Oryzias latipes: one gene and its partner. The protein of the gene in region 2 purifies or fractionates together with the protein of the main gene of each other region. This does not show direct contact. Links are inferred from orthologs where the notes say so. Each region holds a gene or a part of one and is shown on either strand. Other genes may lie near its edges.

Region 1 (7,268 bases), on a different chromosome or scaffold from region 2:
CGCTAAACGGGCCTTCTTGAACGCCCTATTGCCACATGTGTTCACACTGGACTGTCGCTACCCGATATTAGTGCATGTACTCACAGCTGAAAGAGGCTTGGTGTGAAATGTTAACACAGGGCACAGTAAGAAAGCGGCATAGCAAAAACAATATTGGCTTTGCAGACCATGGACTGCAGCGGGACAGAATTATGGACATAAAATTTAGATGTTGTAATGTTAACACTCAAAAGAACAGTCACACTTATCTAAACAGGTTGCATTTACACTGTAGTTTGTGGATTAAAGGGCCTATTTCATGCTTTTCCAATACTTTCACAATGAACTATATCCATGTATATGATAATATATTACCTTTGGCACACTAAAGAATGATCTTTTTATGAAATACGAGTTATTTTCACACTTCATTTTCCAACCCGGAAATAAGACGACTTGGTCTCTGAGGCTCCGCCTTTCTCTCTGTGTGGGTGTCGCCCATTGCATGACCTCAACATAGAGCCGGCCTTGGCAGCGTGTCTGAGTCTCCCAGGAAAACAAACAACATCCAAACCTTTACAGGGATGGATGTGCATACTGTGCAGAGTAAAGGAACGTGTTTTGACCAATCACCACTGGCACCACGCAGAAAGTGTGTGTGTGTATTCCTGAATAAACACACAAACACAAACACAAACACACACACACACACACACACACACCCCCCCACACACACACACACAGAGTATTCCTCTGAAAACCTAAGACGTTTTTAGAGGAATACTCAGAAATGTAAGAACAGATCAAAATACTGCTTTGAGGTTGTTTACAGTGAAGAATGAACATTATAATACACTTAAAAGCTAAAAAAAAGTTGATTTTTCATGACCCTTTAAGGAAGATACATGAGCTCGATTTCTTATGTTTGGAATACAATCAAAAGCTTTATTGTCACCAAGCAGAAAAAATGAACAATGAAGACTTAAATATTAAGAATGCACATGTAAAATATTAGCAAAATAAGATGATAAAACTCTTGAGCATTATTATATACAGTCCACATGATCACTTTTTTAACTGTACCTATTTGCATAAAGCCAATATAACCACAAAAGGTCCTTAACAAAAGCCTGCAGGGTTGAAAGGTTCAGCCAGAGGTGGCAGACTGATCAGCATGCCTTCTGCATGTGGTCTGCTTCAATCCAAATGAAGTGTGCTAGTCGGAAGCAAACATGTCTGGACTGAGATAAGCAGATATAGAGACTGATGCCCTCCTAAACACGCAGCTATGGGCAAAAAAGCGAGCAATGATACCCCTGACAGCACAGAGAGTATAAATAGAGCTGGCAAATACTTGACAGTGAATGTTGACGCACACTCAAGTCTGCAAATATCGTATTAAATTCACATATTAGCATTAAATAAGTTGATGTACTGGCTTAAAGGCTTATTATGAACAAAAAGGCTAAGTGTCAAAATGACATTACCATTTATTCCGAGTTGGACTTGGCACTAAGTCGCTCTTTCGATGTTGCTAGCTGCTATCGTGACACAGCAAATGTGAATTTCTGTCTCGTGCAACAGAAGGGTGGTTTCCAGAGTCGAGCTTTACGGTTTAAACTGTTCTCGTCAGTGAAATGACAGCGCAGTGGCCAGTGCAGACAGACATCAATGGATGTGGGCAGGGCACACAGCTAGCGCCGCTGCTAACGCTAGCTACATGCTCCTACATGACGCACATACATAGCTAGCTGGCCGGGCTAACATCACAATACACCCTAAATATTTAATGCAAATATTATGTAATTTGGGTGTTTAGTGCTTTTATTTTGATCTAAAATGACAGAAGCGCGCGCGTGTCCCACGGCGTAACGTGGTTTGGCAAAAAAAAAAAAAGGGGGTGGAGAAACTAGGGGCAACAGTGGTTAACAGTTTAAGCAACCAGCTAGCTACCGCACCTGCGCTAACAAGCACGCGCCCGAAAACAGTTTTCCAGCGTCGCGCGGGTGAATTGCTTGCCGATGCCACCTTAAAAACGCTACAAGACTCACTGCGAAGGTTGGTGACAAGTTCTGCGTGACTGGCTCCTCCAGATTTCCAGGCCATTATTAAGCAGACTTTGCGGAGTAAGTAGACAGCAGCTGTCAGTGCCGCGCCTGCGCCAACAGTTTTCCCGATGAAGCTCGCAACCTCGAGCGGAGACGGCGGAGCGGATACGTCACCAGACATCCAAATGATTTTATTACCGGGCCGCCTTTCACATACACTCCCTTTTAACAAAACACGTACAGTTTAATAAAATACAAACCCAATTAGATACGTACTGAGCCCAGTGTCAGTTTAAAGAGGGAATTCCTCTGTCTCTGCTTTATTGGAATTGTTGGGTAATAAAGAAGTCGGCCGCTAGGGGGAAACAGATTATCTATTAATTTAAAGAAGAATAGCACACTGTGATCTGGTCTTCTCGGGCCACCGTAGTTACGTATGAAGCAGCAGGCGCGTAGTTTCTCGTGTAGTCCGTAAACTGAAAACAACACTTCAAATTTTAACAAAAAGGCTTCAATTTCCATGGAGAGCATAAATGCCAAATATGTGTCTCAGAAAATCAGTAAGACGAGATGGTGTCCGGTTTCCTATTCTTCACTGCAACAACCAGAAGTCTTTGCTACGGGCTCGTGGGACAACGAGGTTAGCTAGTAGTACTACTACTAGCGCAAAACCACACAAATTATTAAGATCGCTTGCTAATTAACTCAATTTTTTTTATTAATTTAAATTATTTAAATACACTTTAAAAAATTGTTTTGATTCATTTGTCGTCGTGATTTAAATGTTCACTGAGTTTAATGTGAAACCCGTTGATTTATAGGACAACAAGGTGTCTATCTGGTCCATTGGAAATCACAACAATTCTGGATTAGAAGACGGATTTGAAGGAGACCCACAAATTTTATGTGAGCACAAACATGGCGGAGATGTTCTGGACCTGCAAGTAAGAAACCCAAAAGCTTCTAATGACGGAATCATCGGTGTTGATGTTTGATCTGTGGAGCCATTTCTTTATTTAGGCCTATAAACAAACTAAATGAAAAATAGAAATGAGCACAAAACCAAAACGAAATTTTAAATGTTCCCTTTTCTGTCATTAAAATTATTCAGCATGTCAAATAAGTGTCAGCAGTTATAAAGTCATAAAGATCCTTCAGAAGCTCACACCCAAATGTTTGATCAATTTGTGTAACTATTTGATTACATTTTTGTTCAATTCTTCTGGATTTTCCCACTTTATTATGTTGGATGGTTCACTCAGATATGTGTGTTTTTAACATGTTTTTGTAGCATTTTTCTCATCATGGAGGACAAAAGGATTTAAGCTTAGCACTGCATTTACGAGGACTTTTTTATTTAAATTGTAATGGATAAGGACCCGGTTTGCGATGCAGCAACTGCCATTGGCGGGCCAAAGTCTCCCTGTTCCGCACGCAGACAAATAGATCCACATCCGTCTTTGTTTTCCTTTGTCTGAGCTGGAATCTAAATCTAAACTGTACGGCAGGTTGTTTTTTTTTCTTGTGCTACGCTAATGTTAGATTGGGGTTGTGAGCGGCTGTTAGGTAGCAGGAAAGCGTGTAAACAAAGGAATGCTGGGAAATCATGGTAGGGTCACTTTCACGCTAACAGTCCCATCCACAACCCAGAAACAAATTTCTAATGAGCTTCTGTTGCTCTGCAGAAATTATGTCTTAAGGAACAACACAGGGTTTTTGATTTTTGCTAAAAACTGCATAATCATAATAAAAAAAACACTGGGAATGTTTTTACAATAGGTTTTAATTTTAAATGATTTTAAATGTGTACATTGTTTGGATAAAGTAATTTTTCTTGTTTTTCTTTGTTTCATGTTTTAGTTCTTGGACCAGGAACGGATGGTCTCAGCGTCATCAACGGGAGCAGTCACTATTTTCCGCTATCATCCAAACACTCATGTACGTTGTTTCTTTTCGGTTTTCTTGAGGAGAAAACAAAATGTCATGTTTAAAAACGGGTTTCCTTTTTGTTTCCTGAACAGACCATTTCAGTTCTGCAGCACTGGGCGAGGGCGCATAGCTACCCTTGTGACAACGCGCCCTGCACCGCCTTGGTCTGCAGCAGCCCGGAGATTGTCACTGTCGGGGAGGACGGCAGGATCGTGGTCTTCAGAGCCGACCAGGAAGGAGCGGTCCGGGTCATCGGTGAGATGAGGACTCGGATGTTACCGCCTCATCAGGAGTCGAGTCTAAAACTGTCCGTTGTGTTTGTTAGAGAATGCAGACAGCAGCACAATTCACGCGGTGACTTACCTGAAGACCACGGAGGTTTTGACGGTGAACTCCATTGGCCAGCTGAAGCTGTGGGACCTCAGGCAGCAAAGCAGCTCCCCATCGCAGATTCTGTCCCTGTAAGAGCTCTGAAATTTGATGTATTTATTATTTTTTTATGTATCTTTATCCTTTCAGAAACACACCTTTACTTGTTTGTCTTTTTTTCCACCAGGTCAGGAGACAGAGCTCCTCTGCACTGCGTTGACAGACATCCCAACCAGCAGCACATCGTAGCCACCGGGGGCCAGGACGGCATGCTCTGTGTGTGGGACGTGAGACAGGGGGGCACGCCCATCTCACTCATGGAGGCACACTCGGCTGAAAGTCAGATCCTTTCTTTATTTCACTTTAAACATATCTCTGGTTCTGTTTCACTAACTTTCCTTTGGATTTCCTCGTCAGTGTGGGAGGTTCGCTTCCACCCCACAAACCCGGATCACCTGTTCACGTGTTCGGAGGACGGCTCGCTGCTGCACTGGGAAACTGCCTCGCATTCCGAGATGCCCTCATTCTTACAAGGCAAGTCGTCATCAGTGAAGAGGCACTCCGATGAAAATTTTGTTTTTTGGTGTTTCCAACATGTTCTTTTCTTTTTTCTGATGATGGAGGCAGTTTGAAAAAAAAAACCCAGCTCGCTGCTCAGAGTTCTTAGCAGCATAATCATAATAAAAAGACCACAGGGAAGGCTTTTACAATGGATCCAAAGATGATTGGAATTGGAACTTTAAAAAGAGAAAGCCATGGATCAGATTTGAAGCTTTTATCTTTATGCATTCTTCTTTCTTTATGTCACTTAAAACACACAGGGTCAAATCAGGATCATCTCAAATTGACTGGAAAACCAGATTTTAAAATTGAAACTCTGAAATACAGCTGTCACTGTTTCGCAAAGGTGGTTTGGCAGAGTTTTAAACCAGATACCCTTCCTGTACTTATTCAGGCTAGTGTTATATGGGGGCGGGGCTTTGAGCCCATTGGTTACCATGACATGATTGATGTTGTGTGATAGAGGTCATGACAATGTCATTTCCACTTCAAAGGAGGGATGACTCGAGGTTACATTGTGTACTTTTGAATGTAATTTTTTTCTGGAAATGTTTTTCATTCACTTTAAGCTTGAACATATAGACTCTTCAGTCTGACTCCTTTTTTTTTTTTTTAATGCGTCCTCTCCATTCATTTCTGTGCAGAGCTCCGAATATTTTGACAACAATTTCTGATTTCGCTCCCTGGTGTCTTTGACTTTCCAAGTAGAGATTTAGCTAATTTTTATTTCCTCCTTCCTCCTCAGCGTTGTAGCTCTCTGAGAATTATTTAGACATTTCTCTCTCTGGTTGTTGACTCTGAGGACACAGTCATGACTTTGCACATTCCTCTGCTTTGTGTTCATCAAACATCCCTTCACTTCAAACTAAAACGATCTTGTTGACAGCTCAGAAGTTCTCTAAAGTCTAATTACAGCTTATCAGTCCTGATTTGTACAACAGAGATTTGTGTGTTTTGGCTAAAAACAAAGTCAGTCTTTTGAAAGGGTTAATATGAGACAAGATTTGTTATGAAATTTTAAAGAAGTTTAGAGTTTAAAGCCAATGACGCTGAAACAAATACAGGGACAATAATCTCAATCCTAGAGTGTAAACTCTGCATTTTTGATAGAATTTGGGGTAATTCTGAGAATATTTGCAGTTGGGGGTGAACGTTGGATTGTTTGAACTGTTGACAGGTGGCAGGAACAGCAGCGTGATCTCCCACGGCGCGCTGACCCCCGCTGGCGGGAACCGCCCCCTCAGCAGCGCCTGGCTCTGCGGAGATTCTGGCAAAGGCTGCCTGGAGACGACGCACATGCTGCCCAGCCAGACCATGTCCGTCAACAGCCTGGACATCATCGGACAGTGTCTCGTCTGCGGCACCGACGGAGAGGCCATTTTTGTCAACAGACATGTCCCAGTTTAAAAAATAAGTGTCTTTTGTGAGGAAAGAGATGTTACTGTCCTCATGTTGTGTTCTGACTGTGTTTTGTACAGATTTGATTTAAAAGGTTATTAAATTACAAATAAACGCTCAAATAAGTCTAAAAAGTTGTTTTATTGTCAGTCTTGTTTTTTTATTTTCCAATATTTACGATTATTTGATAGATTTGTATTTACACTGTGTAAAAAAAAAAAAAAAACAAACAAGTCAGCTGCTAAGAACACAGGGAAAAATGGTCTTGATTTCAAATTAAATGTGTTAAACATCTTAAAGTAATACTTCCTCACAGAAATTCTATTTTTTTTTTTTACTTGACTGTTGTTTAATCATCTTTTGAGGACTAATACTCACAGATGAAGACAAACATATGAAATTATACTGCCTACCTTAAGGAAAATTCATAGTATTATGAAGCACTAGTCATTTTAAACAATTTGAAACGATTTTTTTTAAAGATCTTTTTCTTGTAATCGTTTTATTTCTGGTTTGCTTTTTATAAATTTTTAAGCAATGGGTTGTTTTTGATCTCATTCCCTGTTTGTTTCTTGACCCTTGATAGTTTTATTTTGAAAGCGGCGGCCACCGGAAGTGCAGCGCTGCACTCTGACGGCAGCGTTTACTTGTCATTCAGACATCCCGGGAATCCAACGCGACAAGGAACCAGTCACCGCGGCTCAGACATTTATCCATTTAACCTGCGTCCAGCGGAATTAACCCAAAAACACATCGAGCCGTTCAAACAGGGAGACAAGCGGCCGCTTCACGCGCTGGTAGGTTCCGGTTCTCTCTGCTGGTCTCTGAGCAGCCGCTAACCCTCAGCTGCTGTTGAATTTTAGCAAACACAGCAGGCCGTAAAGAAATGTTTGTCTTTGTCTGACGAATACAGCTTATTGTTTTAATCACAAACGACACCTACTATGTTTATAGTAAGGTAAAAAGATTTTTATTTTTAAGATA
Region 2 (7,441 bases):
AACTTGTTGGTTTACAGAACAGATATTTTAGTATTTGCCGTCTTATTGAACCCAATGTCATTTTATATTATGGAAACCTGCTTATATACGAGCTGGTCACTGCCAACGCTGGGAATGTGTTGCCCGGTATCTGGGTGGTTTTCCTGCTTTGAGGGTTGCATTACGGCTGCCACCCTGTGTGTGTGTCTTTGGGGGGGGGGGCTGCTGTGGTCTTTTAAGCCTTTCTGCTACTGGGCTGGAATCCACCAGTTTCTCTGCATCTCCCCTGAGACTTAACTACATGCTGGCATGCACATGCATAAAAACATTCATATAAAAACATGACAGATGTGGAATATTTCTTTGCATTCGCCCCCGTTCTCTTCCATTTATTTCCTCCCAGCTTCCCCATCAGTAAACTCCAGCGATGATAATAAATCAGTTTATCTCCTCTATAGGGTCAAATCTGGATTGAAGGGAATAAACTAATCAGATGGTTAAAAATAAAAATGTAAAGTCTGAATTGTACAACGGAATTGAAACTAAACTGAGGAATCAAAGCAAAATAGGAAAAAAACAAAGAAAACCAAAAGCTGAAAATACAAACAGCAGCTGTTAAAAATGGTAAATGGTACTATGGTGTGTACTATGGTGTGTACTTGTACAGTGTTTTCTATTCAATTCAATTTAATTTCTATAGCCAAATATTTACAACAGGCGTCTCAATGGGCTCCAGATCCGAAATTGTGGAATAAACATGAATCCTAAAGAACATAAAGTCACAGAATTCAATAGGTAATGGAGAAACTTAACAGTCTAAACTACAGTAGTGCTGTTCAAATGAACAAACTGTTTTTATTCAATTGAAGCTGATCCTGATTTGACCGCATGCAGAGCAGTAGACTAGAGATTCTCTCCGCTGCCGTTTCCTTTTCTTAGGCGCACCACCATGGAAGGTCGGTGCAGCCGCCTCTTCTACTCTGCGCTTTCAAAAACTCCATTTGCTTTTTAATCGCTGTCAATTTCTGCATTAAGGACTTGAAAAAGATTAACTGGTAAACAAAAGGTCCTTCATTGGAAACAAGTCTACAATATTAATAAGAAAAAGTTGGTGCTTCACTGAGCGGAAATGTTTACTTAGAAAAAATGTATAAAGTTTTGTGATCAGTAAAGAGCCGCATCAGAATCTCTTCTTAGGTACGAATTCAAATGTTCTTTGATAGCAGCAGTAACTTTTCCTGCTTTTTGTCTTTTCTTCTCTTTTTTTTTCCAGAAAGGCTGGACGCACCAAGGATTTTATATTTTTTGGTGCACCACTGAAAAATCTAGCGGCGCGTGAGATCAAAACAGACGCAGTCTAGAGCGCCGCCATACTAGTAACTCTGATCAACAGAAATCTTTCCAGACAAAGCTTCAGAGTCTCATTTCTTTATTAACCACGACAGCCATAAGTCCCATGAAGCTCCAGTCAACATTCATCCCACCATGGACCTCTTCCTGCCTCGGAGCCGAACCTCTTCCAGCTTTTTGATGACTGCCGATGACTTTTTGGAGGAAGCCGAGTAGCTGCCGAGCAGCTGCTGGAAGAGCGGCTCCGTGTTGGGATGGGTGCTGAGGAACGCCTTCTCCAGAACATAAAGGTCCACCCCTTTATCTTCAGCTAGAGCCGAAATGTAGCTCAGGCCAAAGTCGATGAGGACCAACTCAAGCTCCGAGCTGTCGGCGCTGCGTCGCAGCAGCATGTTGGAGGTGGTCAGGTCTCCGTGGATCACGTCTTCGTCGTGCATTTTGGCTAAGATCCGCCCCGTGAGCTCAGCCAGCCGCTGCAGCTCTTGGTCCGACCGCGAGGACGACCGCCGGGCGGATGCGATGAAGTCCCGCACAGTCTGAGAGTCAACTATTTCCTCCAGGAAAATACAGCTGCAACTGTAATCCACAAAGTAGACGACGGGGGTGGAGATGCCTGTGGAGGAGAAACAAGTCTTTGACCGGACGCTGCAAAAGGTCAGAGGCCAAGTAAATATCACAGTTTGCCTTGATCCTGTCTGTAAATGATAGGATAGAGACGACTTGAGTTGGTTATGGAAGGATTAATGGAAGATGAAGTGTGCTTTATCAGAAATGAATGCACTTCATGGAAGCAACCGTCCGGTTGCTTCCATGAAGTGCATTCATTTCTGATAAAGCACACTTCCAAGGTCATCAACCCGCTTATACTATGGTCACCTGCAAAAGAAATAAATGTTCAACCAGTTTTTAGTCCTTTACTCTTGTTATTTTTTCAGTTTGGATCACTTTTTAAACAATAAAGCATCAGTTCAGAGGGAAAGCTCTCCTCTTGCCGCTCGTCTTTGTCCAGACGATGAAGATTACGTTTGTTTTAAAGAAGCCAGCGGAGTGATACAGAACATTTCAGCTGGAACTACTTTTTTAGATTCTCACTTTTTAGTCCACACCCAGCAGGCGATCAGAATGGAGTGTTCACCCGGACCGTGGTTTAATCCTAAATAAATGAGAACATTTAAATGCAAAATGTTCCTCTTTTAATCAAATGTATTTCTTAGAACTTGGATAAAACGGATCCTCTGCTCTTCACACTGAGGGAAGAAAAAAACCCGTCTTCTGTTCGCAATTCTTTGTTCTCACCGTCTGAACAAAAATGCCCCCCCTCCCCACCCCATACTTAAAACACCCCTAGTGCCCAGTGAAAATGAATTATGCGCATCGTAAAAAATACAACATCAACAAAACGTTGAAATAAGAAGATGTAGATTTTGAACGGCATCTTTTATCCTGTTTTTAGGCTGTTTTTGTTCTGATTTCATGTAAAAATGAATCAACTAGAGACAGAATCGGGGGGGGGGGGGGGGGGGGGGGCATTTTCTGTCCATCTGCTCCCCTTCAGTGAATCTGTCCTCGTTTTCTCAGCAGCTCTGAATCTTTGGTCCAGACTACAGGAGACGGACTGAAACCTCTCGTCTCATGGCGGCGTTTTTCAGCAGGAAAACACAAACGTCTCTTTTTTTTTTTTTTTTTTTTTTGCCTTAATGCTGCACATACTGGTAAAACCAAAAAAGGAAGAGAGGAAAGGAAGAGCAAAAAAAGAAACACCAACTCCAGTCGAGACAATCATTATTTTCGCTGCTTTTCATGACAGATTTTGACCCTTTTGGCTTGCCATAAAGGTGCAGGCTGTTGGAGCGCAGCCTGGCTGCTAGAAACGATAAATCCTGAGTGTATCAGGAGGACAGGAGTGCTGCGTATCCTTACAAAGACTTCATGAGACATTTAGGACACGCGCATCAAACAATCGCACGTTTCATTCTCCTGACGTCCTTGAAGTGGCCGAACGAGCCTCAGTGGAAGTGAACGCCACACCTGCGCTCACCTGTGGACCCAGACAACCAGAGAGCCACGGCCTGTGAAGTGACTTAGGCTAAAGTGACCAGCGTAGTGTCTCCGGCAGTCAGAGCTAATATAATAATAAAAACATTGTTTGTGTCTCTCCATTAAGTTTAGGAATAAGAAAAAAATCAACAGGAAATAAGTAACGTCAACTGCCGTCTAGCGTGAGAAAAAGGTGTGGCGTGAGAGTTGGCAGCCACAAAATAACCTGGGAAACTAGAGATATTTTTAGTAAATTAACTGAGACATCCAATCTGAATTACCTGAATAAGTTGCACACAGGTCGTCACACGGTTGCATTTTAAGATGTGTGACTGTAGTTTACGAATGTTCTGACATGGAATTCTTGGGTTTATAATTTTTTCTTGTTAACAAAAAACAATTTGTTCATTCTGCAGTTAAAAAATGACAACATTTCCAACTCTGCTTTGTGTTTTTCTACCGCTCAGGTGTCCTGTGCAGTTGTGTAGTAAAATAAAGTAAAAACTTTGTTGCTTTTGCTAAACCAAACTGTGTTAAAGGTGAATTATTCCAGGAAATTGTAAAGTTCTACAAATTGTTAAAGCGGTCCAGGACCACAAAGGGTTAATGCTGACCCGGATTGAGCAGACAGAACCTTTCGCCTCGTGCGTGGACAAACCCCGCGAGGCCTCGTGGAGCTTTTCGTGGTGAACTAGAGAGCAGGACGTCCTGGACGGTCCTAGGCTGCAGTGGCCTCCGCCTGGGGGAAGCAGAGGCGTCTGAAGCCGGGGATCGGCACCGCGGCGGCGGCGGGACTCACCTGCTCTCCGGCAGCGGGCGATGCTGCGGACCTCCTGCATGGTTCTGCGGTGCGTCAGTTTTTCATCCAGCTCTGGGTGTCGGTAGCGTTTCGGAAACCGTTGTTTGATCACGGCGGGTTTTCCCAGGAACTCGGCCCGGTAGACGCGGCCCTCCGCGCCCTGCTTCAGCATCTCTGCGCCCCGCAGCAGCTGGAGGGTCGCCATGTTGGCGGCGGCTTCTTCTTCTTCTTCTGGCGTTTTACTGGCGGTTTGAGGTTTGCCGCCACCTACTGGACTGGAATGTTCCTGGAATGTTCTAAATTATCTTTTTATATTAGCATTGCCTGTCTAAAAAAAAACACATCTACGTTCTTTTCCACAGATTCATCATGTCGTTTTTTTAGATTTTGTCATATTTCTCTGTAACTAGAAGGAGCTGCATCTCCAGAAGAAAATATGGGTTGATGCTGTATCGCTGAATGAAAAGGAAGCGTAAAGGGGAATCATTGGAAAATAAATAAATGAATTAAAAAAAGATCAAAGTTAACCATAAATAAAGTTAAAACAGCACAATAACAAAAAACATATTTTTGTGATAAATGCCAGAGCCGGGTATCGAACCAGTGAGCTTCTGCACCAAGGATCCCTCATGTTTTTCAACGGAGGCCAAAATCCTGGAATATCTGGAAAAGTTCAAGGATTTGAAAGTCCAAAAGTTGTAGCTGGAAAGAGCTGAATATTTGAATAGTTGAATGGTTAAAATAGATGAAAAATTGTAGGAGTTAAGCGGAAAAAATGGCCAAAGATACTAGAATAAAGAAAGAGAAACAGGAAAACAATGATTGAAGGTTTTATAGCATTCAACCCAATAGTGGAATTACGGTCAGAACATATCACCATGCACGACAACTACAATGATCTGGGGCCTCATTCATAAACGTTGCGTACGCACAAAAGAAGGCGTACGCCACTCTCTACGCAATAGTTGAGATTTATAAAAAGCAAACTTGAGGGGAAAATGTGCGGTCCTTCACGCTCTGACCCAGGCGTACGCACAAAAACGGGTGAAATGAGAAACGGTGACGCCGTCGGCAGATGGAACAAACACGTGAAAGTGAAAATGACAATACTGCCTCTCATAAATAACATGAAGACTTCACAAAGCAAGTCTGACAATTAACAGCTACACCAACATCCGTTTGATCGATCAGCAGTGAAACAAACAAAAAAGATCAAACGAAAATTACAACAGAAATTCAAATGAACACTTATTTGCAGAAAGAAAAGTGAAATATGTTCTGCAATATTGGCATGTTGTGCAATTCATCCTCATAAATAATATAGTTAACAGAACGAAATAATGTACAAAACTGATATTCTCGTCAATGTGTCCGTCTGGCGGAGCAGATATAGGTGCGGGCGTTCGGACGGACGGACAGACGCACTAATTGTCCACTGGGGAAAGTTGTTTTCATATTAAAACATTTCTCCATAAGCTACAGAATTATGGTATTCATGCATATGCCTTTAGTTTGTTTTATTTTTGATAAACAATGTATGGCGTATGTCTCAACCATTCAGAAAGCAACAAGAAATTACATTTGCGCTGATCAATTTCCCATTTCCACGTCGATTATTCCCGACATCTGTAGCTTTTCAGATGTAATTAAATGGAGGGAAATAAAATGCCCCATCACAATGCGTAATGACGCACAATGGCTGATCTTGCGCTCATAGAAGATGTGGCAAATGGAAGAATTCGGAGTGAACGTATCTTTAGACAGCAAGAAGACTTGCTGGCAAACGAGGACGAGTGGCTTATGAGCCGGTTCCGACTTCCTCTGCGGGCTTTTGGGGGGGTGTCACCCGGTGCATCTGGCGCGTCGGCGTCCCCCTGCGCCTCAGTCACCACTCCACTAAAGGATTCCCCAATTCTTGCCGCTTGTCTCTCATCAAGAGGGTTCAGCTCCGGTGTCCCCCCCCCGTGGCAGACACACTCTGGCGATGCAGCGCCAGAGGTTTTTTTGCCTCGACTTTGATGTCCGACCATTTCTTTTTTATTTCGGCCACGGTCCGAGGTTGTGAGGCTGCAGCATTTACAGCGTCTGCCACCGTTTGCCACTCACGTGCCTTTTTGGCATTAGTAATGCCCACACTGTGCCCTCCAAACAACACTTTTCTCCTCTTTTCCACCTCGCCAACGATAACTTCTACTTCACATTGAGTGAAGTTACGTTGTTTTGATTTTCTCTCTGTGTTTGCCATGGTTTCCCAATCAATGAATATTCATTTGTGGGCGTTTCACGGACTATTTATGGGCAACTATGGGCGTGTCATGAAGCCGCAAAAGCTGCGCTGCATTTAGAATCGGTTGTGATTTATTAAGGGAAAGATGCGTAGGATGTGCGTGTGCACGGTTTTATAAATCCGAATATTTCTGTGCGTACGCACGTCCTATGTTTCATCCGTACGCCACTTCTGACGCAAATCCTACGCAAAGTTTTATAAATGAGGCCCCAGGTGTTTCAACACTGCTGTCTGCATTTCACACACATCATCAGGACTCTTTGTGATAAAACTTTATTTGGCTTCTGTGTGTAAGAAGAACGATAGAGGTCTCATAAACTCAGTTTGCCGTTCATCAAACTCATATATTTATAAATATTTGACAAAAAAAATCTACATACACTTAATACAAAAAGAAAACAAATAGTCAAGGGGTGAGCCCATCTTTAAACACGGATGGATAACTGGACAGGATGAAGTGCAGCAAGACTTTGAGAAAAAAAAACGGATGCTCACAATAATTATAAATCTGTGCTTTAAATACATTGAACAAAAAAAACTGTTGAAAAGAAAAAGCATGGTCATTGAGCACACCAACCTAACACAGAGTACGTGAAACACACAAGACCCACTCTGAATTCACAAGAAATGCTGTGTGGCTTCAGGTTGGAAACATCAGCCAGTTTGGAGCCACTAGACTGAAGCACAAACACTCGGTTGGAAAATTCACAACATTTTACCTCACGGTTTCTGCCACAGACTCTTTGGGAAACTCTGTGATTCTGCTGTTTTTTGCTGACAACTGGGAGTTAAAGACTGAAAACTACACTTTACATCACAAAGTGCTTCTAAATGTTGGCGGGATTCACTCTGATGCTCAGAGTCAACAGTGATCTTCTCATAGTTAGCATAATCACCGTCATCCAAGGGATGGTACATGCTAAAATAAACTCTAAGGCATCAGAGAAAAAGCTGTTGACCCAGTGCTCTTCATAGTCTGTTTAAGGCTC

What was found.
Region 1: the proteins of tp53rk (region 2) and nup43 purify together in Homo sapiens (affinity purification with mass spectrometry; 3 studies listed by BioGRID and IntAct, counting the BioPlex papers as one, with this or other methods). This does not show direct contact. The link is inferred for Oryzias latipes from reciprocal best matches to the Homo sapiens genes TP53RK and NUP43.

The regions. Positions count from the first base shown.
Region 1 is NC_019882.2:17,709,042-17,716,309, forward strand, and holds nup43 (nucleoporin Nup43), read left to right. Parts: upstream 1-2,429; 5' UTR 2,430-2,547; coding exon 2,548-2,667; intron 2,668-2,848; coding exon 2,849-2,971; intron 2,972-3,887; coding exon 3,888-3,965; intron 3,966-4,048; coding exon 4,049-4,211; intron 4,212-4,281; coding exon 4,282-4,417; intron 4,418-4,512; coding exon 4,513-4,664; intron 4,665-4,742; coding exon 4,743-4,859; intron 4,860-6,063; coding exon 6,064-6,293; 3' UTR 6,294-6,422; downstream 6,423-7,268. Other genes in the region: pcmt1 (protein-L-isoaspartate(D-aspartate) O-methyltransferase), read right to left, coding at 2,031-2,208. UniProt on the Homo sapiens protein: Component of the Nup107-160 subcomplex of the nuclear pore complex (NPC). The Nup107-160 subcomplex is required for the assembly of a functional NPC.
Region 2 is NC_019879.2:916,102-923,542, reverse strand, and holds tp53rk (TP53-regulating kinase), read right to left. Parts: upstream 4,443-7,441; 5' UTR 4,371-4,442; coding exon 4,166-4,370; intron 1,943-4,165; coding exon 1,455-1,942; 3' UTR 1,392-1,454; downstream 1-1,391.